Oreochromis niloticus: one gene and its partners. The protein of the gene in region 2 interacts with the protein of the main gene of each other region in a pairwise test. Links are inferred from orthologs where the notes say so. Each region holds a gene or a part of one and is shown on either strand. Other genes may lie near its edges.

Evidence for each region.
Region 1: the proteins of gfap (region 2) and pdzk1 interact in binary tests that used the Homo sapiens proteins (3 or more experiments, as listed by UniProt). The link is inferred for Oreochromis niloticus from reciprocal best matches to the Homo sapiens genes GFAP and PDZK1.
Region 3: the proteins of gfap (region 2) and pih1d2 interact in binary tests that used the Homo sapiens proteins (3 or more experiments, as listed by UniProt). The two-hybrid records come from large-scale screens. The link is inferred for Oreochromis niloticus from reciprocal best matches to the Homo sapiens genes GFAP and PIH1D2.

The regions. Positions count from the first base shown.
Region 1 is NC_031987.2:19,835,562-19,845,509, forward strand, and holds pdzk1 (Na(+)/H(+) exchange regulatory cofactor NHE-RF3), read right to left. Parts: upstream 5,810-9,948; 5' UTR 5,717-5,809; intron 4,798-5,716; 5' UTR 4,795-4,797; coding exon 4,588-4,794; intron 4,473-4,587; coding exon 4,259-4,472; intron 3,477-4,258; coding exon 3,144-3,476; intron 3,060-3,143; coding exon 2,863-3,059; intron 2,783-2,862; coding exon 2,558-2,782; intron 2,475-2,557; coding exon 2,145-2,474; intron 1,419-2,144; coding exon 1,365-1,418; 3' UTR 918-1,364; downstream 1-917. UniProt on the Homo sapiens protein: A scaffold protein that connects plasma membrane proteins and regulatory components, regulating their surface expression in epithelial cells apical domains.
Region 2 is NC_031969.2:28,881,549-28,892,091, reverse strand, and holds the start of gfap (glial fibrillary acidic protein), read right to left. Parts: upstream 4,560-10,543; 5' UTR 4,519-4,559; coding exon 3,998-4,518; intron 2,504-3,997; coding exon 2,443-2,503; intron 2,344-2,442; coding exon 2,248-2,343; intron 2,154-2,247; coding exon 1,992-2,153; intron 1,835-1,991; coding exon 1,709-1,834; intron 1,116-1,708; coding exon 895-1,115; intron 809-894; coding exon 765-808; intron 551-764; coding exon 468-550; intron 15-467; coding exon 1-14.
Region 3 is NC_031979.2:26,671,297-26,680,962, forward strand, and holds pih1d2 (PIH1 domain-containing protein 2), read left to right. Parts: upstream 1-4,786; 5' UTR 4,787-5,051; coding exon 5,052-5,234; intron 5,235-6,843; coding exon 6,844-6,970; intron 6,971-7,042; coding exon 7,043-7,282; intron 7,283-7,432; coding exon 7,433-7,704; intron 7,705-7,849; coding exon 7,850-7,984; 3' UTR 7,985-8,206; downstream 8,207-9,666. Other genes in the region: tmprss5 (transmembrane protease serine 5), read left to right, coding at 728-841, 1,210-1,351, 1,572-1,685, 1,793-1,836, 2,001-2,163, 2,298-2,482, 3,390-3,488, 3,621-3,763 and 2 more; dixdc1a (dixin-A), read right to left, coding at 8,941-9,024, 9,288-9,396, 9,578-9,666.

The DNA of each region.
Region 1 (9,948 bases), on a different chromosome or scaffold from region 2:
GAAGAAAATATTTTTGAATATGCAATAACAAGAATATCCAGTGAGTTAACTTTTAAAAATAAAAATCACTGATGGAACGTGCCAGTGTTTCAAAGAAGAGAAGGCCACCTGCTATACTCTTGAAAATCAGCTGATAAATATTTTGGTGGACAGGCTGACTTTTCCAGCTGGGTTCAAGTCAGACCCAGCTGATCTTCTCTCGGTTGAATATATATATTTTATTAATTTAGCCTTTTCACATTTGCTTTGAAAGTAGGTTAGCATTTACCCATTTGAATTTTTGTTTTTTCCTTTTTTTGTTTCAGCTCCTTGGTGTGCAGCTTACCTGATCAGAATATTAGGGAATATTTGAAAAGCTCATTAACCGGAGAGTGGACACACACATATATTTGACACTTAAATATCTTTACCTTTATACTGTGCTTTAACTTGGGTTTGTTTTTTCCTCATATTTTAGTATCAAAGCACATTTAAATGATTTCATTTCAGCAGTAGAAGGATTTTTTATGACATATAATTTTAGATCCCTCACTTGTTGTTTTTGCTGCTTTTATGGTCGTCTACCAGAACCTCTCGCTCCACTGGGGTCAAACTCTATGGTCTCCCATTCCTCTAATCACAGAGTGTGCACAAATCATTTTCTTTTATCGGTATACATCCACTGTTAATAACCATGTGAGGCCACAATCTTCTCAGATGACACAAGCTGCCTCCGTCCTTGGATCTTTTTTTTTTTAAGAAAAGATGAAAATGCCACTTGTGACCCACATTCTGAAGTGGCTGTAAGTTTTGACAAATATGCCGTTTTTAGCTGCCAACAAAAAGATATTCATGAAGTTGGTCTTTTTTTTTTAGATGACACGTTTGTTTATTCATGTTTCAAAAACGTTTCATGTATTTATAAATCAGAGAGCAAATAAAATTTTAAACATTTCGAACATTTATTAAAAGCAGGAGAAAAAAAGAATACATAAAAGGTCGCAGTGTTTACTGGCAGTATTAATATTGTGTTCATTCTCGGTGCTGTGCTAGTCATAGTAGGAAGGATATTACTCATCTCGGCAAACACACTCATCAAAACGTTGGGCAAACGTTCCTGAAATTTCTCAATATTCACAAAGATGCTTTTGTTCTCAGTCATGTCATACAGTTGAAGCAGCTACTCTGCGATGAATCAGATTTTGACAGTAAGTTTGAAGTCTTCACTGTCCTTGTTCTATTGTTTCTGTCAACTTAAAAAAAAAATCTTTTGATATTAAGTCTTTGTGAGAAGCCAAGCTGACTGGTTAAAATAAACAGAAGAAAAAGAAACAGATCAACATCAAATTAGGCCAAATCAGGAGAGGGGTCCTTCACGTTGCTCCTCACATTCTCTCATCAATGCTTTCTGCAGACGAAGATGATGACACGGATGAGTTCTAAATAAGAGAAAACACAGACATTATTAAGGACAATGAGCTTTTTTCCTGTATGTTTTTAGTTCAGGGATGATTGAGAAAAGGGGATGAGAGGTATTTTATCAAGCAAATGAAAATACTATAACCAACGGTTGTAGTATGAGCAGATTTAATGTTTACTATGCTCCTGATCTTAGTTTGGTGTGTTAGCATGCAAACAGCAGCCGCAGAGTACAGCTGACGATGATGGGAATGACGTATTTTTATAGGCATTTGGTCATCAGCAGTGTCAGATAAATGTTACAGTTCATTCTTTGTCTTGTCTTCCTTGCAGCAGATGGCTGCCATTCCCCGAGCCTGGTTCTGCTAGATGTTTCTTCCTGTTAAAAGGAAGTTTTTTTCTTCACATCTTTGCCAAATGCTTGCTCATAGGGGTTTGTTTTATTGTTGGGCATTTCTCTGTATTATTGTAGTCTTTACCTTACAGTGCCTCGAGGCGACTGTTGTTTAGTGCTTTATAAATAAAACTGAATTGAATTCTGAGGAAAAGATGGATGTCTGAACAAGTTTCCTCTCATCCAGTCATCGAGTTATTTACACCAAACCTTGTAAACCTCACTGTGGCACTAAAAGGAAACCCAGAAGCTCATCAGAGTCATTATAATTTATTCTCTGGGGAATATGAATGTTTTTGACACACCAGCATATGCTATAATGTTTTTGAAACAATTAAAAACCACTTCTCACCCTCTGTCTTTCTGGTTCAGTCGGGGTTGTAGGTCTTGCTTCCTCCTCTTCCTCCAGTCTCTCCCTCTTGCTGGCTTCTGGAGTTTTTGCACTGTGGACTTGAGCGTAAGATGTTTCCCCGAGGAGCTGGCGTGTGATAGGCACTCCTTGAGCTTTGAGCTTATCATAGACGCTCCTTTTAGCCACCAACATCTCCAGATAATTCCCACTGCCTTGGATAATCTTCACCACGTCATCATGATGGCTTTGCTCTACATTCACCCCGTTCACCTCAACCACAATGTCATCATTCTCCATGCCTACCTTGTCAGCTACTCCACCCTTCACCACCTGGAACACAGTGTGTCTTATCACTTATCAGTTGTGCTTAAAGTGGCAATGGTCAAATTGTGGACATTATTTAGAAGCCTTACATTTTGGAGGTAATGGCCGCACACTCCCTGGATGCTATTTAGATGAAAGCCAAAGCCATCTGAGGTCTTCTCCAGTTTACACAGTTTAGGCCTGAGTTCCTCTTTCCTCTCTGGAGCAGGCGTGCTTGATCGTGTGGGAATGGGTAAGTTAACAGCTTCTGTGTAACTGGGTGGTGAGTTGGAATCATTCATCTCCTCCATGAAAAGCAGAGGAGAAACTTTCCCCTGTGAATGATACAACATGATATAATTTAGACCACCTGCAGGGATTACTTAACAGACAAGATGTTGGCGCCCTGGCTCACCAGCTTATACACTTGGTCTGTGTCTTTGTCCACTACTAGGAGGCAACATTTGTTGCCACTCTGCTTGATCCTGTCTACCACCTCCTCGTGGCTGCAGCTCTCCACATCTCTGCCATCCACAGCCACCAGCCTGTCCTTTTCCTTCAGATGCGCTTTTTCTGCTGAACTGCCTCTCTCTATGTCCCTGATGAAGTGTCCTGCATGGAGTCATGGAGCACATTATTAAAATGTAGCCTTCTTTGGACAGTGTAATCTACAAAATATAGTCATTATAACCATGCCTGCTTGACTGGGCTCCTCTCTAAGGGTGAAGCCGTATCCATCAGATCCTTTGGTTATGTTGATGATGCGTGGTTCTCGAGGGAGGTACTTTGTTGTGGCTAACCACGAGCCAATCTTTGCATGAGTCTTCTGATAGAACTTGTCTGTTTCTTTGTCGACCAGTAGGAACATGATATGGCTGCCTGCCCGTCTAATTTTGTCCACTGCTCCATCGTGTGTGATGTTTTCTACGTTTTCCCCGTTGATCTCCACCAGACGGTCATTGAGTCTGACCCCTGCCCTTTCAGCTGTGCCTCCTGGGGTCACTTCTGTCATGAAAAGTCCATGCTCACCTAGACATGATGATAAAAAAAAAGGACATTTTTTAAACTTAATTGAACAGTTTTCTCGATAGTTCTCTACAGACTAAAAAGAAAAAAGTCATCCCTTTTGAAGTTTAACCAAAATCCTAATTTTAATTTGTGATAATATCTTTTTGTATCTATTACTACTGAAATACCTTTCAAAGATAAGTGCAAAGAAAACACTGCAACAAGTTAGACATAACGTCCGGGTCTGACAAGTGAAATCTTTGCAAAGGTCTTTAAATCTTCATGCTGGAAGGTGACTCCAAAAGCAAATCACATAAAAGTCTGTAATGAATGAGCACGGTTGTCTAACTATTTCTGTGACTGGAATATAACAGACTGTTGTCCGCACCAGGGTGAATCCTCTTGCCTGATGACAGCAGGGATAGGCTCATGCACAGTCTGAATTGGATAAGTGGAATAAAATGGATAGCTGGACAAAAGTCTGTAATGATACTTAAGCTCCCTTCAACACTATCATGATTATTTCTGGTTTTAGCCACTATCTTCAAGCCTTATTGGCGACTATACATATGAGGCATTAGGAAATGCTCTATTAGCAAATAAATACGCTTTTAGCTGGAACTTATGAACCACTGTAAGTGTCATATAAATGGGTACTTCCAAAGTTAAGCCATTCCAGTTTAGCAAATCTAAACTTCCACTGTCCAGCGTCAAATGGCTTTTATCACTATAAATAGTACTCCTATGGCCTTTTTTATTCTAACACTTACTCAGAATTGGGAGTCCCTGCATCCTCTCCTTACCTTCAACTGAGCGAATAGAAAACCCAAAGCTTGAGCTGGACTTAACCAGGTAGCAGAGTTTGGGTTTTGGACGATGTTTTTCCACTCCATTGGCAACTGGCTTGCTTCCAGGGCTGGAAAGGTTTACTCCCTGGGCTTTTGCTTGCTTGTAGGAGGATTCATCTAGAATGTGGAACGTGACAGAGGTTCCACTGTTTTTCACCAGGTCCACCACCTGTCCAGGAAAAAAAGAAGAAGACTCTAAGAAAAGATGCTTGTCACAGCAGAACTGGTCTAAGAGTTGTTATTGATTTGATTAATGCACTGCAGTATTTCTACATCCTGCTCACTTCAGAATGCGAACGTTCATCGACAAATGTTCCATTGACCCGGAGGATGCGGTCTCCGTCTTTCATGCCAGCCAGCTCAGCTGGACCTCCCATTTCCAAGCAGCGGATCAGGTGACCCTCCTCGCCATTCTCCACCCTCAGATAGAAGCCGAATGTCTGTTTTGGTTTCTTGGATAGGGTAATCACCCGTGGCTTGTACCCAGCCATGTCCTAACAAAAAAGGTGAAAAGCACACACATGGCAATCACAGTGGTAAAGTCATAACATTAAATACACCTGTCACTACTAATGCTTAACTTACAGGCATATCTTTTTTTTTTAACGCCTCCCGCCCCCCGCCACCCTCCCCGTTGTTACTGCCGCTGGTCTTTTAAATATATAAGTAGAGTAGAAACTACTACTGGACCTCAAGGACCAGTAGGAGAGTTGCTTCAGATCAATAATCTTACAGTTAACCTTTCATGCTGGGTCTGCAACAGAAGTTAATGGTTAATAGAAGAAGAGGTTACAGTGGTGATGACTCTCCATAAAAAAGCAGCTTGGACTTTGAATGCACAATAAGAACTTCTGCTGCAATTCTTGCTGGATTGTTATTCCCATACAGGAAGGTCATAAAGTTCTTGTCACTCTGTGTGTGCACATGTACTGGCTGATTTATTTAGCCTTTTGTATGGCTGAATAAACGAAAAATGGCTAAAAACAACGACTTTATTTAAGCAGGCAGGTTAGAATAATTTTTTTGTTTGTATTCCTTATACCTTTACTTTTAAAAGAAATGTTTTTACCTGTCCTAAATTTAAGTGTATAGAATTTATGTTTTCACTGAATGCAATATTCGAACCATATGAGTTTAGCATCTTAAAGATTACACTGTTTATAGATCCGGTATCCAAATAATAACAAATTTATGTCTATAATCTCAATAATGACTTATAACAGTTTACTATAACACAAGCAACACAGCTCACCCTGAAGAAACACTCATCCTCAAGACAAGACAACATTTTCCATTATTCTTAAAATGAATTTATAAGATAGCATAGATCTAGTTTTGAATGTGACATTGAAAAATTTTAACTAACTACACAAAATTACATACAGCGTAGTTGAGTGTTTATAATATACTCACCAGCCTGTCTCTCCTGGCGTCTGAATCTCGAAGGAGAGCTCACCTGTTACTGTTTAGCTGTTATCTATGTATCTCCTGTCTACCTCCTCCTTCCCGCCCCTTTTCCTTCCCCCTTCAGGGACTTTGACAGGCCAAAGGTTAGCCTAAAGGCTGAGTTATTTAACAGTTTCTAGGCTCACAAATTTCTGCAGAGGCATTACAAGGTGGGCAGTCAGCTGTTTACCGGTCAAAGGTACAAAATGCAGGTGGCAAAAAAAACAATGTACAATCCTTGCAGCACACAGTTATTACAGCATTGTGAAATTCGAGTTTTAATCACTAACACAGTATTGTGAAATGACTACAAAAATGCACAATTTAATTGCATAATTTAATTTTTACTTGAATGAAAAAAATGATGGCGTACTTATTAAAACTTGACAAAGAATGACCTAAATTGTGTTATTCTAGCAAAAAGGTCAATAAATTTGCATGCAGTAGTACTTAAAAAGCCAGTTCATGTAATGTAAATATAATCATTAGAGATGAGGATCAGGAGCTGGTTCTTGTGGAGAACCTGTTCCCAGTTGTTCAGTTACTTTGATTTCTGAGTTTGCCCGCCTATCGAGCCCACTTATTGGTTTCATTTGCACTTGTGCTAATCAGCTAATTTCAGTTTGTGTGCTGGAGGAGGAAATTCGTTTTTACAGTTTCTACAGTGTGGATATGAACATTTTGTTTATAGTTTATTGGACAAAAGGAGGAGAGCCCAGTGTTTAAGTGCAAACTGCATCCAGGACAGAACACAACTTCTGCTCTTTGCAAGCACCTGCGCAAACAGTATGCTAACGCTAAGTTAGCCAAGAACCCAGAGTGATGTTAAAGCTGAGTGAATGCCGGCCCCATCCCAGCAGCCAGACCTTGAACTTCAACAGGTTACAAAGCCAGTGATGAGCAATCAGGCTGAAGCTTACCTTTCTGTTCATGTTTCTAACGTAGAATCACTATGATGATCGCTTTAAAGTCTTTTTGTGCTGATTTTCATCCTTGCTTTATGCTGTCAGCTTTGTGTTCATACCTAAATATTAAGAAAGCGAAAGATCCCACGTGTGTCCTCATTAGGAAAGGTTGGGACTGGAGCCTACAGGATTATATTTTGTTAAGTAGTATTTATGAAACAATGAGTTTCAGGTCATTTTAATGAGTAACATGAAAGTTACTTAATAGTGTAAAAAATTACTTTCCCCTGGGAGTAATTAAGTTGTACTGCATTACTTTTAATTATTGTGTTATGTGTAATTTGTGCAATACATTACTTTTTATGAGTAATGATCCCAACACTGATCACAACAAATAGGGGAAATACCTACAACAGGCACAGACACTTGTATGCAATTAATTTGCATGAATGTAATGTCTTTGATATGGTGCTTAGGGATGGCAATGACTCTCAAAGTGGAGCAAATGAGAAGCCAATGAGAATCAATAAAAGAACTGATAAGGAGCAGAATATATAAATATGGACAATGAAATCGGAATTGCTAAGTTCTTATCAATACACGTCCCTGATAATTACCCATGTGGGTGTTTCTCTTACATTTACACACCTCAAAGCTGCAGTGTTTGCATTATGGCACATTCAATCCAGTCTCATTCAACAAATGTGTCATAAACTCCACCCTCAAGGTCATAATGTTCAAATCTAATTCTAATGGTTTTATTGTGATGATATGGTGTCTCTTGAGACATGCAGTGCTGCACAAATGTCTTGAGCAACACTTCCTTTTTTTTCTAGGAAAATGTAAACTAGATCTAGTGATTTAATGAATCACAAAAGAAAATACAGTATATAATGCTAAACAGACAGGGCTTTTCTATCTAGGTACGCTTATACTGCAATGTTAGTGTGTTTGGGATCACTGTCATACTGAAAAATGTGGCTGTTGTTATTCAAATGGTATTTCATGGTCAATCAAAATCTAAAGGTATTTTTCTGTGTTCGTAAATCCGTCAATTTTGACAACATCCCCAACACTATGGGCCTCTAATGTGTTTTTACTGCAGTCACTCGCCTTTGTTCCTCTCTCCTGACCTCTTCTGTAAATACTGATGGTGATTAAAAATCAAGAATTTAAAATTTGGAGTCATCACTCCATTAACCCTTATTCGAGCTGTTTACAGTTCATTTGTTATGTAATTTGGCATACCTCAGCTTTTTCCTCAATAATTCCTTCTTGACAGCCACTGAGATAATTTTTGGTGAGGCTTCATTGAACAGTATGTGGATCAACTGAAGGTCTCAAGTCCTTTGTTAGGTCTTCGCTTTGATGGTTTTCTGTTTCATAGACACATGACTTTCAAATATTGTTATCTGCTGCAGATAGTTTTTTAGCCCAGTGTCCAATTTCCTCAAATTTTTTAAGGACACACTGCACACCATACTGAAATATACCAAGTTTTTAGGTAATACCTCTATGGGAATTACCTTGTTGGTGCAAAAATAGTATTTTATCCTATCAAACATTTTTTTTCATAGATTCAATGAAAGAAATGGAAAGCAGCCAATGTCCAAAGAAAAACTTGGACAACTGTTGATCAAGCCACTATAAAATCTTTTTAATACATCCGGCTCACTGGAAGCAAAATATTAAGAAATTATGGGCCAAGACTGTTGCACAGTACCTTAATGAAGGGACAGAACAACACTGGACTAGCTATCCATTCTGTCAGCATAGATACTTGTATAAAATAATGTGTCCAGGAAGTTTGCTCTCACTAGCATTCATTGATTCTTTAAGAGTCTGAGACCCAGGGGTTAATTGGTCTCACTTTCCAAAAAACAGCTTCACAAATTCCACCTTAGTGTCACCACTGGTTAGAAATTCCCCTCTGTACCTCTTTTCCATGTCATTACTTAAAATGGTAAGGATAAAATGTTGACTTCACTAGTCTTCTAACAAAGTGGACTAAAGGGGGTCATTTATTTTTTTAGTAAAGATCTTCGTGGTGTAAAAAAATTCAAGATAGGATTGGTCGCAGTTAAGTTTTAATGTTTGTTGTTAACCTGGTCGTAACTCTGGATGTAAAAAGCAGTTATACAATGGCACAAAGGTGACAACCAAGGCCTGCAAAAGAAAAGTTTTATTCATTACCAAACTGGTGCCTGCAGCAAGATTTTGTTGTCAATATCTTTTTAAATGTTTTATTGTTACTGCTACTCAGAATTCGGTTCTGGTAGTGTCCTCTCTTTCTCAAGGCCTCTGACGAGGCCACAAAGTAGAGTTTAATTTGCAGTTCCTCTCCATGTCTTTGAACAGAAATTATTTCTGCACTGAGTAGACGGTCAAAACAAATATGAGTGCTGTGGACTGCCAATGATGAGACTGCGCAATATAACACAGGAACTTTTATAGCAGCGCTTTATGCAAATGATGTCCTGACATGTTCAGATTTTTACTTAACAATGTATTATTTTATTTGACTTATTATCTATGTATAATTTTGTTTTTATTTTATTACTATGTGCATACACACTGAGAGTTACCTTGTGTATGTCATGCTGAAAGGAAATAATTACTTTAGAGTCCCCAAATTACATTAATTTGTATGCACAGAACCAAACTGCCTCTGGCAAGTTCATCTTCTAAAAAAATCTCTAGATATATTTATTGAATTTGCATAAATGCAGAAAGAAATCCTGAGTCACACTTGCAAGGTGATATTAAAACTTCCACACATGTATGAGATCCAAATATCTTGCCAGGTAACATCCACAAAGGTGTGTATCCCTTTAAAAAAAAAAGAAGAAGAAAATACAAGGTCTCATTTCCACCTTACTACATCTTCACTATAACATAACCTATGCATCCAACATCTATCAAGCACATCTGGTTGAAAACCCTTTTCGTCACTGCTTTGAGCTTGCATTAGTCTCCCTCCCCCCAATATAATTTTCCTCCTTTTTTTGGCACACTGCTACCTTTTATAGCGCATTACCACCAACAACAGTAATGTATATTGACTGATGTGCAGACCTGCTGGTGGAAAGATGTATGGATATCCATTACCATCCTTCAGCACTTCACAGAAATGTGAATCACATCACTCCACGCTTTTACTGTATGGATATAATTGTTGGTGCAATGCTAGAGCCATCCCGTTGAATGTTACTCTAGAGCACTTACCTTTAACAATAAACTGAATTATGTGTATTCAATACCTTCCACCTCTTCTACAGTAAACTGTGACAAAGT
Region 2 (10,543 bases):
GATTCCTTAATGATCTGAAAAAGGGAAAAAATTCAGTTAAAAATAACAAAAAGAACAAATCTCTCATGGGTTTTTAGTATCAGTTGCACAAGGCATCAGGTGTACTGAGCCACAGTGAATCTGTGAAAATCTGCAGAAGAGTTCAACATTGCCCTCCAGAGGGAATGGGTAAGAGGTGCAATGTGCAAATAATCCTGAAGCAGTGTGAAAGACTTATACAAGCACTAATTCACTCGGTTTACTAAGTGGCTGGTTGATTACAGTAGCAGAATATAGTTAGTTTGCCAAGTTCTGTCCTCATGACTCCTAGAAAATATGCTGCAGACCACTGACATGCCATGGAAAATGAGAAATTTGTGCAGACTGAAAAGGATAAATTAAAGTTAAATAAATAAATTCGTGGTGAGGAGAGTGAGACATGCAATGTCTGTATGATCCAGTGTTGCTCTTTGTGTTCATCCACATACCTCCCCATCCCTGGTCTCCACAGTTCGAACCAGGATGCTTCTCTTCACATGGGCCTCAGGAGTTTTAGTGTCCAAGTTAGTTTCTAAGGGAAAAACACGGGGAGAGAGAGAGGATATTAGCTCTGACCAAACCTGCTGAAACACTATCCTCTGTTCACATTTGGTTTAGAGTACAGGTACGGGATTAATCTCTTTTCAACCAATAAATACTGTCCAGTTTAACTGCTGGTGTTCTACAGCAAAAACAATTTAATCAGTCAAGGGAACAAAATACCATGGTTCAAAATTTAAACTGACCTCTAAACTGCATGTTGGAAAAGCTTTGAACTGGAATCGTGATCCTGGAAGAAAAGTGACCAAAAAAATCAGTATCACATACTTTGATTTATTGCTTGTGTTAAATCTGACCAGACAAGCTCTAACTCACCTGCTCTCCTCTCCCTCCAGGAGCTTCCTGTATGTGGCAATCTCAATATCCAGAGCCAGTTTGACATTGAGGAGATCCTGGTACTCCTGCAGGTGCCTTGCCATCTCCTCTTTCAGTGCCTGGATTTCCTCCTCCAGTCGGCTCACAGTATCCTGGTATCCGGCTGTTTCCATGGCACAGCGCTCCTCCATTTCCCGGAGCTGGCGTTCCAGTGACTCATTCTTAAATAAAAGAGAGAAGACCACATAATAAATGGAGTGAAAGAGAAAATTCTGTTCACCAGGATTTAATGTAGATAAGTAAGATTTTGTTTAATGTTGTTCCTAGATAAGTTGCTAATGCAAAATTTTACACTAGTATTACGATCTGTCTCTGTTGCTAATCCTGCTAATACAACTTTTGCATTTACTCCTTCTACAGCATCTACCACTGCTGTTTCTGGTCTATATGAGCTGCTTTTTTCATACCACTAAGACTGGTAGTACTCAAAAAGTTCCAATTTATAGAGTTTAAAGTCAAGAATACAGATGCAGGATTAACAAAACAAAAGATTTAATAGGCTACTTTGAGTTCAGGTAGAAGACAAAGAGGAGAAACTGATTGTTCTTGATTGGTTAGGCCTATCACACAATCTCAATTCAAGACCAGACTATGCACGAGTTTCTGAGTTGTGCTTCAGCTCCACACTTGTTGTTAAATTACAGTTCTAACAAACTATTTTAAAAAAGTGTGTGTTTGCCATAAGTCCATCTGACAGCAGTGTAATTTGTGAATTCAAAATGTCTGTGTAATCTGCGTGATCTGGTGTACTCACTGTGCCACGAAGAGCCTCCAGGTCACAGGTGACCACTTGGATCTGACGACGATATTCGTTGGCTTCCTGCTTGGCCTGGCGGAGGGCTTCTGCGTTTCTATTGGCTGCATCTGTCAGGTCAGCAAACTGTGTACAAAGATGAAACAGCTCGTTTGTATGTGGTGTGTGTATTAGCTTATTAGCTGTGAAACATTATCTTTATCTTTGTGCATTTCTTTTAAATTTTCACACATTTTCACTTTATACAATAAGTGTTTTATGTCCGACAGCTAATTCTTCTCACCTTGGATCGATACCATTCCTCAGTCTCCTGCATATTTGAACTTGCCATGTTTTCATATTGGACCCTGATGTCTCTGAGAGCAGCAGTCAGGTCTGGTTTAGACACATCCAGATCAACATGGACCTGCTGGGCCATGATCTGCTCCTGTAACTCACGCAGTTCCTGCAAGGAGGAAATCCAAATTTGATTGTGGTTAGTGGCAATTATTGGTGCCTTAATATTTCCGTGACTTCTATTCCTTCAGTTGTTTTCTTACCTCCTCATGAATTTTCTTCAAGAAGTTTATCTCATCCTGCAGGGCATCAATCTTCCTCTCCAGCTGGACACGATTTAAAGACGCCTCATCCACATCCTATGAAAAAAAATGAAGCACACAGAGGGATGAAGTTGGATAGTCAGTCATACCGAATGTCTAAATTATTTAGTTGATGATTTCAGGGAACAGAATTACCTGTCTGAAGCCATTTAGATTATTTTCTGCATCCTGTCGGAGCCCAATTTCATCTTGCAGTCTAAGTCACACAAAGGAGAAAAATAACCAAATTAAAAAAATTACTCAAATTTGGTTTTTTTAGGTTAACAGAACATCCAGTCTTTCCAGTTTTTGTTGTGCAAAATACTTTTATAGACAAAAATCATAAACACACCATTTATTTTGAGTTAACTTGTTGTGCATGAGCCTTTTTTGTCAACTCCTTCACATCTCAGCAAAAAGGAAACAAGCATGAAAGGATTTTTACATTTTTTTTTACAGTTTCTCATTTATGTCTAACAGAGTATCGTCTGCAAGGACTAAAAACACGCACACGCACATCGATTAGATTCGTGATATCAGCTTTACTGCTGCTCCCCATGCTGCTGGGGATGTGCGGGGCTCAGCTGAAAGGGCAGCTTACGCATCATTACACATTCACTCCAATCTAGCAGCCAGAGGCCTTTCCCACGGGATGGAGCACACACACACAGACATAAAAAGGACGCACGTACGCACAGCCTCGTGCACAGATAGGCACCACCCTACAATCCATCTGCCATGCACACAGTGACATGGAACTCTAAGCATCTGTATGGCTTCATGGAGCGATTGCTGAAAAGAGGGCTTCAAGAAGAGCAGCATGAATCACAAAAGTGACCTCTGACCAGAATCATCACTATTCATGCTGCATTCTTTTAGAGGACCAGCAGCTGCGTGGTAATCGGAGGATATAGTGTGAGAGAGACCTTTCGAACCTTTAGAGGCTTCAAGTCACTCATTCACAAGATTAAAGTATAGATTCATGCCACATATGCATCTAAAGTTTTAAAAAAGATGCATATGCAATGGCAGTGAATCAGTATTTTGGAGTAACAGGGGACTAGTGAACATCTGCCCGGCTGGCCGTTCCCTTTGTGTTGGGCTACCATTGTGTTTCCCTCATTCCTTCGCACTCACTCAATGGGGACAAGGGGTTCAAGTTTGTAAAGAGGGATCCAGGAGTAAAGCTGGGGCAGAGCACAGTGGGCTGCATTCCAGCGGGTCTGAAATCTGCATATAAATGAACTGGCAATTATAAAAGAAAACTAAGAAAAAAAAACTTTCCACTGGAAAGAGTTTGTCTTATTTTGTGCCAAAATACATAAAATCTACTCCAGCTGAATGTGTTTTCCTATCAAAGACCAGCTAACCAAAAGCATTTGTCTAGAAAACACACTTTGTGGGCATTTCTTTCACAGTCCAAATATGTTTTTCAGAGTGTGTTTCAGGTTCTACTATGCTTTAATCAAGAACATGGTAAGGTTTAACATAAACAAGGGTCCAAAACATCTGTACACTAACTGAAAAATGAAATATGAAATTGAAATTCAGTACATAACTCTAAAAAATAACCCTTTGCATTTCTTTCATTATTCTTATACATACATATGCAATCTCTAAAAGAGATACAAATGGGTGGTACTACTGTGGGATCATGCATCACACCTACATGATCCTCCACCCACAGAAGTCCTGCCCTGCTACCTCTTACTTCTGCTTAAGTGCAGCCACATCTGCAGCCAGGTTATCCCTCTCGATCTCCATTCGAGCCTTGTTGTTGGTGAGACCATCGACTTGTCGTCGTAGCTCCCTGAGCTCCTCCTGGTAGATGTCTCCCAGTCGGCTTGGCTCCTTCCCCTTCAGCTGGTTCAGCTCTGCCACCAGCACCTTATTCTGCTGCTCCAGCAGGCGCACCTTCTCTATGTAACTGGCAAAGCGATCATTCAGGCCCATCATCTCCATCTTCTCGTTAGTTCGTGTTTCCTTGTACTGGGCCTTCAACAGAGAGTCAGCTGAGAAGTCCAGCCGATCAACAGGGCTCCCCAGCAGCAGGGCTGTGCTGCTTGAGCCCAGGGAGATCCGCGACACGGGACTGGAGTGGGTGACATTGCGAGGGGTGCCATGCCAGGAGAGGCGGCTAGAAGAAAGGCCACCAATTCTGACTCCAGAGCTGCTCGAGCTCTGGGGCCCAAAACGCTTCCTGTATGAGGACTGGACTCTCTGACTCTCCATGTTGGGGAATGGAGCTCGCTCTGGGCACAAACAGGGCTTTTATACAGCCAGGCAACCAACCCCCCCAAGACCAAAGCAGAGAGACCACAGGGTGGGGCAGAGAGAAGGGAGGGTGGCAGGCAGTGAATGGGACAAAAAGGGAGAGCGAAGGGGTGGTTTACATGACACTCAAAAAGCTGTGCGCCAGGGATTGTCTGTGCTCGTCCACTCAACTACAAATGTCTCTTGGCTTTCTCCCTCTCCCCCTTTCTCCTCCCTTCTCCCCAGCCTCTAACTCACTCTCTCTCTCACTCTTACTTTCACCCTTTTTTGTCTTCCTCTCTTTCTTTCTGTTTGAGCTGAATGAAAAGGAATTTGTGTGACAGGGTCTGGCCACCAATTCAAGCTGACCACACATGCGCTCTCACAAAAACAGAAACACAGTTTGATCAAACAAAAGGGTGCTGGGGAGAGATCTTCGCTCTCTAATCAGAAAATAACTTCAGATCGGCAGGTGGAGCAGGTACAGATACAAAGAAAGATTAGTATATTAAAAACATTGCTGAGTGTATTGGAAGTGTGCACAACAAAAGCCTGTGAAATCATTTGAGACTAGGGTCAAATGATTTCACAGGGTCAGTTGTGTGGAGAGAATCTAAGAGCTGTTGTCACTCCTCTTTGGATCACAGTTTAGGGCAGCAGTTATATAACAAAGGGCATAACATTATTCGTTAACTCATCCTTAATGGGAATATTTATTATAAAATGTGCTTATTCAGTAATGAAAATTAAAGTATGATGAAAAAGTTCATATTACCCAGACTGGAGAAAATACATTTTCAACAAAGTATATTCAATTCAGTTTCAATTCAATTTTATTTATATAGCACCAAATCACAACAACAGCTGCCTCAAGGTGCTTTCTATTGTAAGATAGACCCTACAATAACAATCCCAACAATCATATGACCCCCTATGAACAAGTATTTTGGTGACAGCGGGAAGGAAAAACTCCCTTTTAACAGGAAGAAAACCTCTGGCAGAACCAGGCTCAGGGAGGGGCGGGGCCATCTGCTGCGACCGGTTGGGAAGAAAGAAGGAAGACGGGATAAAAGACATGCTGTGGCAAATCTCCATTAGCGAGTTAGCACGGATCGCCCCGTGCGTGGGCCAGCATGGCGTCAACGCGTTACGGCGGTTAGCTTGTTAATGCATTAGCGCCATGCAGCCCCACGCACGGGGCGATCCGCGCTAACTCGCTAACGTGTTAATGCGGTCATTTTAACGAGATTAACGCTGACAGCACTACTATTAATACATAGTGAGTGAGAAAGGTGACTGAAGAAGAAATACTCAATGCATCATGGGAATCCCCGGCAGCCTACACCTATTGCAGCATAACTAAGGGAGGATTCAGGGTCACCTGGTCCAGCCCTAACTACATGCTTTAGCAAAAAGGAAAGTTTTAAGCCTAATCTTAAAAGTAGAGATAGTGTCTGTCTCCTGAATCCAAACTGGAAGCTGGTTCCACAGAAGAGGGGCCTGAAAACTGAAGGCTCTGTCTCCCATTCTACTTTTAAATACTCTAGGAACAACAAGTAAGTCTGCAGTGCGAGAGCGAAGTGCTGTAATAGTGTGATACGGTACTATAAGGTAAGATAAGGTATCTCACCTTATAGTACCTTAATAGTACCTTATGGTACTATTAAGATAAGATGGCACCTGATTATTTATGACCCAGGGTTTTCATTATATATGCCATTAAATATTAATCTATAACACTTCATCTCAAAGCATTTTCAAGTGCTTTGGAGCTTTTAATTAAATAAATAAATAGATAGATAGATAGATAGATAGACAGATAGACAGATAGATAGATATACTGCAGTACATGCACACTTTCAATAGAAAGAAGAAAAACACTTCCCTTGGAGATGTTCACTGTGTCTGGTTATTAGATGTCTTGCTGGTTCCAAAGACAGATGGATGGCAGAGATGAGTGGGGTCAGGTGGTGAGATGTGGGGAGGAAGGGAGTTGGTGAGTAAAGCCTTTTAATCTGAACTCTATGAGGACTAACAGAGTCTGCATTGCAAAACCATTATCATCCATTACCTTGACAACCACAGAGCTGGCTACCTCAGACCACCTCAGCTGATCTTTTTGAAGAAGATGTGATTTATGGAAGTGAGATTTTGACCAAGTGCCCATTTCCTTCTGCAAGAATATATCCCTCATGTCAAGAACAGAGTATTTTGGCATGACAATAATGTTATTGAAAACAGAGCTCAAAAAGACACAAAAGTACTAAAAGTTTGGGAAAATACTGCTGGAAAAAAAACTATGAGTAATATTGGTTTTGTGTTGCTGACAAGATACAGTAAATAACCCTAAGTAATTTTAATGAGAAAAGCAACGGTAACTGTGTAGCAAGTTTCTTTCTTTTCTCTATCTCCTCTTTCTGTGTTCATGTCTTTGTCCTCAGGTGTTCCCTTCTCACTATCTTTAATTTATATTTTATATATTTCACATAAGTCTTTTGTATCCATGTTTGGTCATGCAAGTTTTTGTTCTTCACCTTTGTTTGATTCTGCCACCTGTGCTTTATCCCTAATCAGCCTTCTGGGTTTATAGAAACCTCACTCTTCCTTCTGTTCTTTGTTCTGGTGTCATTTGTGTAATCCTCAGTGTGTGTCCTGCTCTTGTGTCCTCATGTTTCCTGGCATTTCCTAGTTCTTTGGACTTTTTGTATCACATTTGGAACCTTGATCAACCTCTATAAAGGCTTGCCTTTTGTTTAGTTCTACATTCTGGCTCTGCAAATTCCCCCCAAAAAACAGTTGCAACATGGTAAAAAAAAAAAAAAAAGTACCAGTAATTGGTTAAATTCCAGCAAAAATATCAATTCTGTTTTTGTTTGGTGTTAGGAAGATCAAACTGGCAGTAGCACATTTAACTGCTGAAGGTAGTAAAAACCACAACAGCAGTGGTTCATAAAGGATTTCTTTGTTACTAGGCCATAAAATCACAGGGACTGTAGACCAATCATAGTGCCTTTATTCAGTGGGAGACAGTGAATAAAGGCCCTAGGACTTTACTATTTGGCCTCTGAGTGTTGTTGCTAGTAAAGAAGAAAAACAACAGCACACTGTCTTGAATTCTAATTGGTCTCTCTTAAAGCAGGTTAAACAAGATGGCACACTGTAAGTCTGGCAGAGATTTGTTGATTAAAAAGGCTCCATCTCTAAGGAGTAATAGCATGCTTGCATCATTAAGGTGACAGTAATTGTTTCGCCCCTCTGAATTTTTCCGGCAATCACCACCGTTGCCTGAGTTCTGGTCACTGAGGTAATATGTCCTGATGATTAAACATCCAGGCAGAAAGAGAGTAAAAGTGGTGCTGCAGACCTCTCCTTCTCTTTGCTCCCTGCTGCAAGTCAAACAGCTGATTCATAGATCCAGCACAAGAAGACCATCTTATCTGCAGGAATTACAAGAAGAAGGGGTGTGGGGCAGAATCTTAAAACTGAAATGATCTCAGGCCAAGATAAAATCGCAGCCAGCTAAGTTTGACTGCTCTGGCATTTTGCATCCAGAAACCCCAGTGTGAACCTCTCAGCTACCATTCTTCAACCTGGCTGATGTCTGAATGTACATGGCCACATACCAAACTGAATCCTGACCAACAAGCTGGAAATACGACTGTCTCAGCCCCACCTTCATCACTACATCAAGGACAGACAGGGTGTAAATTAAGGGGTAGGCCTTAATCAAAACTAGCTGCTTTGGGTTTAAAAAAAAAAAGGTGTTACACCCACAAAATGATGTCCTGCAACAAATTAAACAAGATGAATTTAACCTATCTGCATCAATTCTTGTGAACATGAGACTTGCATCCTCCAACGACTACGCAGGTGGGGAGAGTGCTTGATTGTGTCCCTCACACCCCTGCTGTACTTGTTTGGTCTGGACAAATTATACTTTTTAGTGACTTTGCATAATTCCTGCATAGTTGAGCCAACATATCTAGGACACTGATATTGTTAGGAATATTAAAAAACAACAACATAATTGAATGCAGGTTTTATTTATGCCTAAAACTAGGTGTATTTCCTGTCTGTAAACTGATCCTCATGGTGTAGTATAGTTTTCATTTTACTCCTTTTCTTTCTTGAGAGAAATCATTGTACATGAGATTAGTATGAGCCTACCATATCTTTACATTTACCTGGTGTGCAGTGCTCTTGGCTGATTAACTGAGACTTGTGGAGGGAAAATAAGTAGATTTCATTTTCTGCCATTATACAAAAATTGTTTTTTCCTATATATAAAAACATCCTGTTATAAGTTCAATATTAAAAGCATATAAAATTCTTAAACCTACTTCCAATTTTCGCTACTGGTCACATATAATACAGGGGCACTGAGCTCCTTTAATTTATCTGCTTAATTAGATCCCATCTAAGGAGTGTGTGGCGCGTGCCTGTCTGTCTGAATCTCCTATTTGCTTCATTCACCTTCAACGGCGGGAAGGTTTTCATACTTCGATTACTTCCATAACAGTCTCGCCCAACAAAAAAAAATTGAGGACTAATTGGGGAAAATAAATGAAAACACCTGTTCTTGTGCAATAAACAAAGGATCTGAGCACTCTTCCACTGCTGGTACTGACTGTCGGCTGGTGCCGATGGAGACTTGACAGTTAAAAACAACACAGCTGAATGCTTGGGTTCTACTGAAGCTGCAAGGCCTTGTGGGAAAAGGGTTTTAATGAAAATCAGGGGGGCTTAACTGGGACAGACCGAACAGCAATATGACTCAGCACCACTAGGTCCAAACAGAGCGTAGCCACAAAGAAGACGTCAGAGAGACGGGGTTTAGAGCCCAAGCTCCAGTCTGCCTGTCAGCAGGAATGCTGGGGGCCCAAATACACACAGATAGCTCTGCTTACCCTACACATCACATAATGAGGATGGCACTCAGATAACAACCCAAGCTTCACTTGATTATACTCAGGTCAGAAAATCATTAACATGTCAGAATTTATAGCCTCATTAAAACCAAGAAAGAGAGGGCACGCTAGAGATTTTGTCAGATAAGTGTTAACATCATCAGCTCACAGTAATAATCCTAACCTTCAGATATTTAGAGGCCTCATTCTCCATGTTTAACATGTTGCAAATACTAGTTTCTAAGTTATATAGCAGACAGAGATGTCATTAGTTTAGCAAAGTATTTTGATAGGATGAGAATACTACAGGATGTGTTTTGACAAAAAGTTTTGACAAGTTTTGAACCAATTAAAACCAATGATAATGGTTTCTTTATGGATAATCTATGCAGCACATTTGTGGTAAAGTGATTACTGTTGAAACAAAAGAAAAGAAAGCTGTCATTTACCCTAAAATCTCACTCTACACTATAACGCCATTCTCAAAGAAAAAAAAAAAGAGTGAAAAGACAATAAAAACAAAGCCTGTCAAAAGTAAGGGAATGTCTATATGACACCAGTTCACGAAAAAAAAAGACCCTTTGTTCGATACAGTCTGTTTATCCATCTCACAGGCGGACACGGCCTGTAGAAATCTCCTCTTCCTGTGTCTGCCTCCTGTTTTCCCTCATGAGAGGAGTGAAAGAGCCAAAAGAGAGGAAGAAACAGAGCGAGGGAGGGAGAGAAAAGAAAAACGAGTGCATCAATCAAGTAGCTTCTTATTGCCAACAATGAGCTCAGTCTCCTGTGTCCCTTCATTTACAGGACTCACTGGGTTTGGACAGGCTCGTCCTCCCACGCATATAAATACACTGATAACAATTAGACAACATATTTAAAAACTATTTATTTGTTTTTGAGACAGGGAAGGACATATATACAGTATATATTTATATATAACATACTATTCTTTTCTTGCTGTAAAATAAATTTGATACATTAGACTTTGCACTGCAAGTCTTGTCATGATACATATAATACATTTACATATATTGATTTCTACCAGCTAGTCTGTATTCATTTGATCATCCTAGGGTCCTTAATTTCTTTAAAACTGC
Region 3 (9,666 bases), on a different chromosome or scaffold from region 2:
CTCTTTTATCCCCAATCATGTTACTCATTAAACTAATCAGCTGTGAGATCTTCCTCTCCAGTTTCTTTTTTCTTATCTAGTCTTCCACAACTTTTCCAGGGTTTTGTTGCTCTCATCAGAACTTTTAAAATCAAAGTGAGAATATATTTTAAGAAAACGTAAACTTTTCACGTCTTTGTACAGCTAGTAGTTAAACACACATTTTTATTGTTTGGCAAATCATTGCATTGAAATGATATTTCCCTAAATCAGGCTTCTGGTGTAAGCAAACTGATACTTTTAAAAATAAGGACCTCTTGGATTTAATGGACTGTCAAACAATTTTAATGGACAACATGAAAAATGTATTATTCATTGTTTGTGTTTTTGGAGCCTTACTTTAATCACCAGCTAAAAATCAGGGCAATGTTGGGCTCAGCTGCCCCAATTTAGATTTTTTATTTACTGCATTGAAGTTTCCCAAATTTGATGGAAACACGCGACAACATTCAAGTTAAGATAGAGAAAATTTTGAAAAATGAATCTGTTTTTTAATTAGCTGTTTTCTAATTAGCTGGATTTGCAGATAGAAATGAACAATATTTAATGACATTTTATTGCTGTCTCAGACGCTGGTCCGTTTTGGGTTCTCATTCAGATAATCTGGTAATATTAGGAAAAATCAACAACGTTTTGCTGCCCATTTTGCAGCCTGATTAAAAGATTATCTCTTTTAATCCACTTTTAGTCAAACTTTTGCTGAGGCCATCGTCCTCCCAAAGCCCAGTGGGGCTTGGGGATACAAAGGAGACATCCTTCTGCAATGTGACGGAGGATATTTCCGCATCGGACTCGCGGAAAGGTCTGTGTTTACTCCCTCGTGGTAGCGTTTCTTTCACTGTTTTATGAATTATAATGCAGCACGTTAATGCGTGGCTGCTTAGCTTATTGTATATACTTCATTATATCAGGTCATGGGTCACCTCTGAAGTGTTTCTTAATTGAATAGTAACAAAAATTAAAATTCAGCAGCTGCTACTTGTTGTCTTCTCTTCACTCCTGAGAGATGCCCATTGACCGACATGAAAACATCACACATAATGATCTGTTTCTACTGACTACATTAGCATAGATACTTGTGTTTTTCCTAATCATTTCCCACTCATAGAAGAGGCTTGATCATTAACGTTGACTGAGAGCTTGTCTCTGGAGGGATTTTCAATCAATCAGGTTCAGTGTTTTACAGAATCAGTCCTGAGAACTCCCTCCTGGAGATCCAGCTGGGGAAGCTGCCCACCTGGCTTCCAGTATGCTATGAGAGGTGGAACTCTTCGCTGGGAACACTGGTCTGCAGACAGCTGGGTTATCTGAGGTGATGCTTTTTCGCAGTCCTGCGAGGATCACACACTGCTTCTTTATAGCACCATTTAAAAAAGCTGAGAGCCCATTCTCAAACTTGGTTTAATTTTAGGCTGAAGGCTCACCTTATTTATGATCTATTAATACCTCATTTATAATCTTGCTTCACACCTCATGAGACTAAATTATCTCAATACTCGCTCCCACCCATTTTTCAAATGTTCCCTTACCAGACTGACCAAGCATAAAGGAGTGAACCTTACTGATATCGGGCCAAACTACACTGACGGCTTCATACAAATTACCTCAGAACAAAAGAGCAGCCTGGAAAATATGTGGCAGTTCAGGTAAGGCAATCTGTCAGAGGACATCACACTCATAATGGTGCAGGGAAAATTGCGTCCGCTAATACATTAATTATGCATCATTAGTTACCCAATTTATTTTCATTTAGGAGGAGTTGTATCACAGGGAAGGTTATCGCTTTGCAGTGTTTTGGTGAGCAAATTAAACTTAACTTTTAATTTGAGTTTGCGCCTCGCACAGAGGCCAGTAGTGTTTTTGTACAAAAGCTTTATATCAGAGCAGGATGAATGATGGCGTCTGCTGCTGCTCTTTCTGACCAACCCAATTTCGTTTCGTTTTGATGAATGGATCTTTAGAGTGTGGCACACGAGCAAAGCTACCCAGGATAATCGGGGGCGTGGAGGCCGCGCTGGGCAGGTGGCCCTGGCAGGTCAGCCTTTACTACAGCAACCGTCACACCTGCGGAGGCTCCATCATCACCAGTCAATGGGTAGTCACAGCTGCCCACTGTGTACACAAGTAAGACTGCTGACCTGACAAGTACTAAAGGTCAGAGGTTGCAGCCACGATGAAGGATAATAATCAGTCATTAACAGCTGTACCAGTGTAGCAGTATCAGTATCTACTCTCTCTTTTCTTTTCCCAAATGTCAGCTACAGGCTACCTCAGATATCCAGCTGGGTGGTCTATGCTGGCATTGTGACCCGCAGCTCTGCTAAAACGGCTCAGCATGCAGGCTACGCGGTGGAGAAGATCATCTACAACAAGAACTACAACCACAGGACCCACGACAGCGATATAGCACTGATGAAGCTGCGGACCCCGTTCAATTTCTCAGGTCAGTCTCATCGCAGCACTTAAAAAAAAAAAAAAAAAAAAAGTACTTTGGCTTCAGTTTACCTTTTCATATGCTAATAACAATTTATCATAAACAATATAAGTGCTATTGCTATGCTAATTTTTCTAATCATAACAAGTGATATACACTTCAAATGAAAAGGCTCCCAATATCTTTAACATCTCACAGAATCAGCTGTTAAGATTCACACATAAGCTTACAGTCTCAGCAACAATTAAAGCACCGCCTCCAGATGTTTTGAGACGTTGAAATTTATTCTCCTTCCTGGCTCCTGAGGGATCTTTGGGTCTGTCTTTGTAATTTTGTTTCTTCTTTACCTCACAACATAAGGAGCCTTGAAATGACTATTGTTTTGAATTCACATAAATAAAAATGAACCGAATTACAGATGTAGCTTCCAAAGGACAGAATACATGAATATGCAAATACTGTACAGTGTAAAAAAAACAAAACACAAAAAACCAGGCCATCATATAGAATCCAATGAGAGAGACACAGGGCTATTTTTGTACACAATGCATTTTATGTAGATTCGGTTATATTTAAGTTATTCTGTGAGTTTGTATGGCTGCTACCTTTTTGTTTGCTCTGATCTCAGTGGGAGACAACTTTCTTTATGTTGTATACAGGACCACAGTTGGCTTCTCTATCATAAAAGCTTCCTTGTTTTTCAGCTGTGATTTGATATGAGCGTAGAGACTAAAGAGAAAACAGCTTTCTCATGACAAACACTGAAGTCTAAACGTGGTAAAACACGTCTCAGTGAAGGGTGGTTTTATAACACTTCTTAACATGACTTATGAATCCAACCATATTTGCAGTACAACTTAATGTCTCTTGTAACTATTTAAATGTATTAAGAGGCAAAATTCCTCCTTTTAACTAGACACAATCAGGCCCATCTGCCTGCCTCAGTACGACTATGCCCTTCCAGGAGGAACACAGTGCTGGATTTCTGGATGGGGATACACGCAACCCGACGGGGGTAAGATGTTACTACACTGCTCTGCTCTTAAACAAATGCATCTCTGCTACAAATCTAATCCATACTCAAATGGTGACAGAGTGAGCCAAGTGTGTTAGTGGAGCAGTCCTAAATTGAAACTTTCACCCGTAGTTCATTCACCCGACACCCTGAAAGAGGCGCCAGTCCCAATAATAAGCACAAAGAAATGTAACAGCTCCTGCATGTACAATGGAGAGATCACAGCACGGATGCTATGTGCCGGCTACACAGAGGGAAAAGTGGACGCATGTCAGGTCAGAGGCTTGTTTTGACCACTAGATTTAGCTTCTCTTTTATGAGTAGCTGTAGTGAGCAGTGTTTGGGCCTACCTCTCCAGGGGGACAGTGGGGGCCCTCTGGTTTGCCAGGATGACAACGTATGGAGGCTGGTGGGGGTCGTCAGCTGGGGAACAGGGTGTGCTGAGCCCAATCATCCTGGAGTTTACACCAAAGTGGCCAAATTCTTGGGATGGATCTACGAGATGATAGAGGTAAACAGCATTTTTTAATTCTACAGTGAACAATAACTAACTATTTACAGGACAGCACAGAGGTTTAGTATCATTCGATACTTCTTTATTGAGCTCGATAGTTAAAAAATACACGCAAAACACATGATCAGCTTAATTATAATTTCATTATATATATATATTTTTAAAAAGTTAGCTCCACTTTTGCCAGTTTTAAAACATTATGTTGAGAGAAATGCATCAAAGTAAGCCTGTGAAATAGGTCATTTGTTTTTGTAGAAGTACCCTGCTGATAACAACTCTTTGAACGGAGGATATTTACATATCATGGAATACTTTTTTACAGGGATAATACTTTTACTTATCTAAAATATTACAATAAATTCTTATATCACTACACTGCAGAAAGCGCTAATTAGTTTCATCCATGCCGCTATTTGAATTTTTTCTTTTTTTGTATTTTCAGCCGGATTGAGATGGAAACTGTAAAACAGAACAGCGATTTCTAATATTAATTCTTTCCTTATTTTTGCAGAATTACTGAGGAGGGCTCATGACAACAAAAGGAAGGAAGCTTCTGATGAAACTGGTGGAAACGTTAGAAAACTACAGTTATACATGATACTTTTTATTTTACGTGTCAGTTATATAATGTACACATAAAGACAGACTGAAAACATCAACATGCATTTTTACGTTATGTTTTTCATGTATTGAAAATAAATTATGCTTCTTATTGTCATGTGTGGTTTCTGAGCCGCAGTTCCGCATCTCACCGCCTGGTGGCAACAGTGTTACGTTTCATATAGTTTCTATGGCAACTGACAACATTGGCCTAGCTAGTGTTAGCGATTACAACTAATGAGCTACAGAACGTAATTAGTTGTTTTGTTTTGTTTTGGTTTGGTTTTTTTAAATATTTGTGTGATACTGCTCCATATTTGTCGGATATTTAAGGTGTTTCTATAACACATGCTCCTCTATGACACTGCTGACCGGCTGGTTTTCTGACGCACAAACTTTTTCTGCTAACTAGCTAGAGTTGGTAATAAAAGTACGACAGTTACCTTAACATGTGCTCCACTGGCAGTACAGAGGATGTTTTGCAGCAGATGAGCAAACTGTGGTCCATGCTGGATGATCTCTCTGAAAATGACCCTGCAGCCTACCGTACGCTTATAGAGAAACAGTTGAAGGAAGGAGCTGAATTCAGAGCACCGCCCGAGCTGGACTCCTGCCTCTGCACTGAAATACTGGTGAGTTTCATTCGTGAAGGCTCCTTCCTGTGTAGGCCCCACTCCATACAGGTGTTACTCAGCACATTCTTTGGTTCAGCTAGAAAGGAAGCCCACCTTTATTCCTCCAAAACATAAATAAATATATACTCTAAATTCAAACACAAATTAGGGAAAGTTAACTTTAATAGCAGAAAATTTAGGATACAGCTCAGTACCCATCATCAAAAAAATTTTTTTTTTTTTAAATGATTCAGTGTCTCAGGTCCTGTCATTGGTACAAGGAATTACATTACAGAAGAATTTGGATTGGGAACAGCACTTACTCTGCAAAAGGCTCACCCAAGTAATGCAGGCATCTGATGGTGGAGGAGAGGGACTGCCAGGAATCGACTCAATGTGCAACAGCAGTCCTCTAACCTTAACAAGGCTGCTGAATGATGTGGGAAGGCATAAAACGAAGAAAAATCAAATGTAGTGAGCTATGGAATATGAAAACAAAACAGCCCACATATGATGTTCTGCTCACTCCAGCAGTGTGTCCCTTGTATGCAACCCTCAAACACATCCGGGTGGGCTGCAAAAGCAGTCTAACACATGGAGGATATAGTTGGTGACATAACCAACTAACTTGTCTGTAGCTATTAGTCAGGAGAGTATAGACTAACTGCAACTCATTAGAAGTTAAAGCCACCTTTCTGCAACAAACAACCTTCATCTGGGAAGGTGAGAAACAGCATGTCAAGCCCTATCTTCCTGAAATATACCTTTACACTTGAAATCAACCTGCACCCAGGTCTGGTTCTCTGGTCCAGTTCCTGCCAGTCTGTCTTCACTGTAGAACTGATTGTCCCTTGGGAGGATGCAATCAATAAGGCATATGACAAGAAGAAAGCATGAGCAAGCTGAGAGAGAGGACCAAGGCTGGAAAGTGGAGGTCCATTCAGTGGAAGTGGGCTGTAGGGGCTTCGCAGCCAGCTCCACAGTAAGACTGACGAAGGAAGTAGGCATCAGGAAGGGCAGCCTAATACAAGTTAATCAAAAAGCTTGCCACTGTTGCCAAAAGAAAGTAGTCACAGGGGCTGGCTGAAGCAGAAGGAGACAGTGTGGCCTGCCAAATTACTGGTGGGTGCCATGTGAAATACACCCAGGTCTGATCAGCCTGTGGTGGGTCTGCTTTGGCTAAGGGCATCTTGTGAGAAATTATGGAAATGCACTATGAAGCTGGGGTACAAAGCTGATGATGTGTCGCGCTGATGGATACATACCCATATGGTCAGCAGCAAACACCCCATCTAGATGGCTTCTCCAACCCACTCAGTTCTGTGTTATACTGACAGGGATTATAACTTCTAGCCCTATTAATTAGTATAGTCCATTACAAGCTGTGAAAGCTTTGTCATCACATTTCTTGTTTTTATCCAACCAAGAGTAAAGTAATAACCTAAAAATATTTCTGCTGAGGAGCTGTAAGCTGTGCTTGCTTTATATATCCTAAAATACACAGGCTGCATGAGAAACACAGACTTTTACTTCACTCTGCAAAGATGCTAGACTTTTATCCACTTAGAACTTTGAAATTGAGTTTGTTTTGACAGATCCTTTTGATAGCACTGTGTTTCTGTGACAGAAACCAAAGAAAGGCCTGCTGTACATCAACATATGCAGCTGGAAATGTGTGCCTGCGCCTCAGGATCCCAGCAGGCTTTTACCAGTGTACACTGGAAAACTGGAAACAGGCACAAATGAAGATCAAGGTGTGTCAAGCTGCAGACCTGCCATTTGTATTACATGACACAAGCAAGAAAGTCATACTTTTTCCTTTACAGGCTGGTATACTGTGCTGGATGTGGCATTAAATCCTGTGTTGCTGCAGGAAAGTAGGGAGAACAAAGCAGAGATTAACCAGGTCTATATGCTGGCCCTGAGCTTTGCCCAGAAGCAGCTTGGGATGACGTTATCGCAGGAGTACAGAGTTGTCAACAGTAGCCCAAATAGTAGCCCAGATGAGTTGCACCGCCGGCTTGGATTTCAGAAGTTGTCCAGTGCCCCCAAACAACCCGACACAGGTAATGCAATAAGTCTGTCAACCCTGACAAGCTTTGATAAGCACTTTATGTTGAACCCGTGCTCTTTACCCACTCTCCTTTCACCTCCTAAAACAATTTTCCTGATAATCCATAGTCCTTTTTTTTTTTTTTTTTTTTTTTTTTTTACAGCTGGTCAGACACCAGCTGCCCTCCTGCAGCACATCTCCTCCCTACAATCAGAAAACCAAGAGGACTCTGCTCCTCAAATTATCTGTAGGCCTGCAGAGAAAATAAAGAAGGATTTGATCCAGGTCATCTCAGCCGCTTCTGTGGGGCCTCAGAAGCCAGAGTATCGACTCGAGGTGAAGACTGATGCAGCAGGAGTTCCTGACAGCGTGGAACTGATGGTGGAGCTGCCAATGGTTTGCTCCATGTCAGAGTGCCAGCTGAGCGTGTCCAAGGTTAGTGGTTACACACTCCCTTGAACAGTTATAACGAAGCACTTTAGAATCCAGTGTGTGTCAGTGTGTAGCTGGATGTCATAAGAAATACATAATCGACCTGTAGCGAGCCTTAGTAGCACACTGGATGTATTTTTCTCTGCAGGATGACGTCTTACTGGAGGTGGAGGATCTTTACTATTTGCTTGTGGACTTCCCGAAAACTGTAAACGAAGACACCGCGTCTGCCATCTTTAATAAGAAGAAAAGAAGACTTACATTGAAAGTGAATGTGCTGTGACCATCATCCTTAATTAAGAAGCAAATGTGCAGTGTTTGTTAAGCTAGCTAAACACTGGCATTGAAAATGCCTCAAACAAAAACAACAAAACTCCTGTTGTGCAATGTACAAATAAAAAAAAGAAAAGAAAAAAGCACTGAGAGCGCATTGTGCTGTGGAGGGACCCGTATTCTGCCTCAGAATTCAAGTTAACTAACAATAAACAGCTTGCGTGTAAATTGATCCATTTCCAAGAGCAACATGTTTGTGAAACAAATATGTAACAGTGTCCCTTTGTGCTGTGTGGGCTGAGGCTCAGCAGCAAATTTAATTCTAACCCCCCTCCTCAAAATTAATTGACTTTAATGACAATCTGTGGATTTTGTTTATTAATGTGTGGGCGCGTGAGTGGAGGTGTATAATGGCTACGAGCTGGTGTCATTACCGTATGCAGGGGGGAATAATTGACAACAAAACGATCCATGCAATAATTTATGTTTATTAAAACATCAAAATTGATGCAGAACAACAACATCACTGTTTGGCAATCTGGAACACGTGGAAAATGTCAGTAAACACTTCTTTCTTTTTTTTGGAGGTTTGCATACTATGCACTGATTACAGCTTTTTAAAGCACAGCGTAGCTTGTTATTTCATGTAAAGCTAACGTTATTTTATTATTCAAGTATGACTTTACTGACCATTACGTGGTAGTCCCACAAACTTATTTATGAGCTGCAAACAATGTGCGACATGCGGTCCATAAACGAAAAAAAATTGTATCCAAATGTTTAGATTCTTCATATGAAACATTCACTTTTAAAACATGGTTTTGTACCTTAATGGTGTTAGCTCCATTGGTCCCAGTTATGTATCGTAACACTATTCTTTCTTATGGCATCAGAAGTATTTTCAGTAGCTTCCTGGTCCAGTGGGAACAGCTGAGGTTTGTAGTGACAATCTCTAGTTTTTGGGCTCTATCTCCGCTCTCCGTGATCCTCCTCAACCCACGCTACAATCTTCCCCTCCCAGCCAGGGACAACGGCTCCATCCTGAAACACCTGAAAAGCCAGCATCCAGTGTTTACATATCTGAGAGACCCGTATCTGTAATATACTATAAAAGGTTTGGATAGAGAGTAAAAATGAATACTTGAGGTTATCCAATTCTTTGGGATGGAAATAAGTCTCCCCATGGTGTTCTGAAGTGCACAGTAGGCACAGCTATTATCAGCATATCTTACTCTATAACTGCCGTTTTACATTTGCCAGCTGAAGCCCGATGTGAAGAGAAATAGGGGCTGTAATTTTACTCCCACGCCTACCTCCTCTTTCACTGTGCCAAACTCTGGGTCAAGGGCCTTGAAGTGGTATCTGAAACTGCCTTGTCTGTCTACAGCTGCCTTGAAGTCTCGCAGTGTCACCTCTCCCAGCCTGGAAGCACACATATATCCACACAGACATTATGCTTTGCTAGGATAAACCAGCCCAGGCATCCATATGCGGCTATGGTCAACCGAAACCCAACTAACAATTTGCTTAAAAAATAAAGAACGCTCCAGTGAAGCAACGCACAGCACTGTATCAAGCCACCATAAAGTGTTTATATACTCGCCTTTTTGGGATGTTAATCAGAAATGGAGTGAGCGAGCGATCTGTGAAGTAGAGCACTTTAGTGGAGACGGCAGTATCCAATCCTGGACT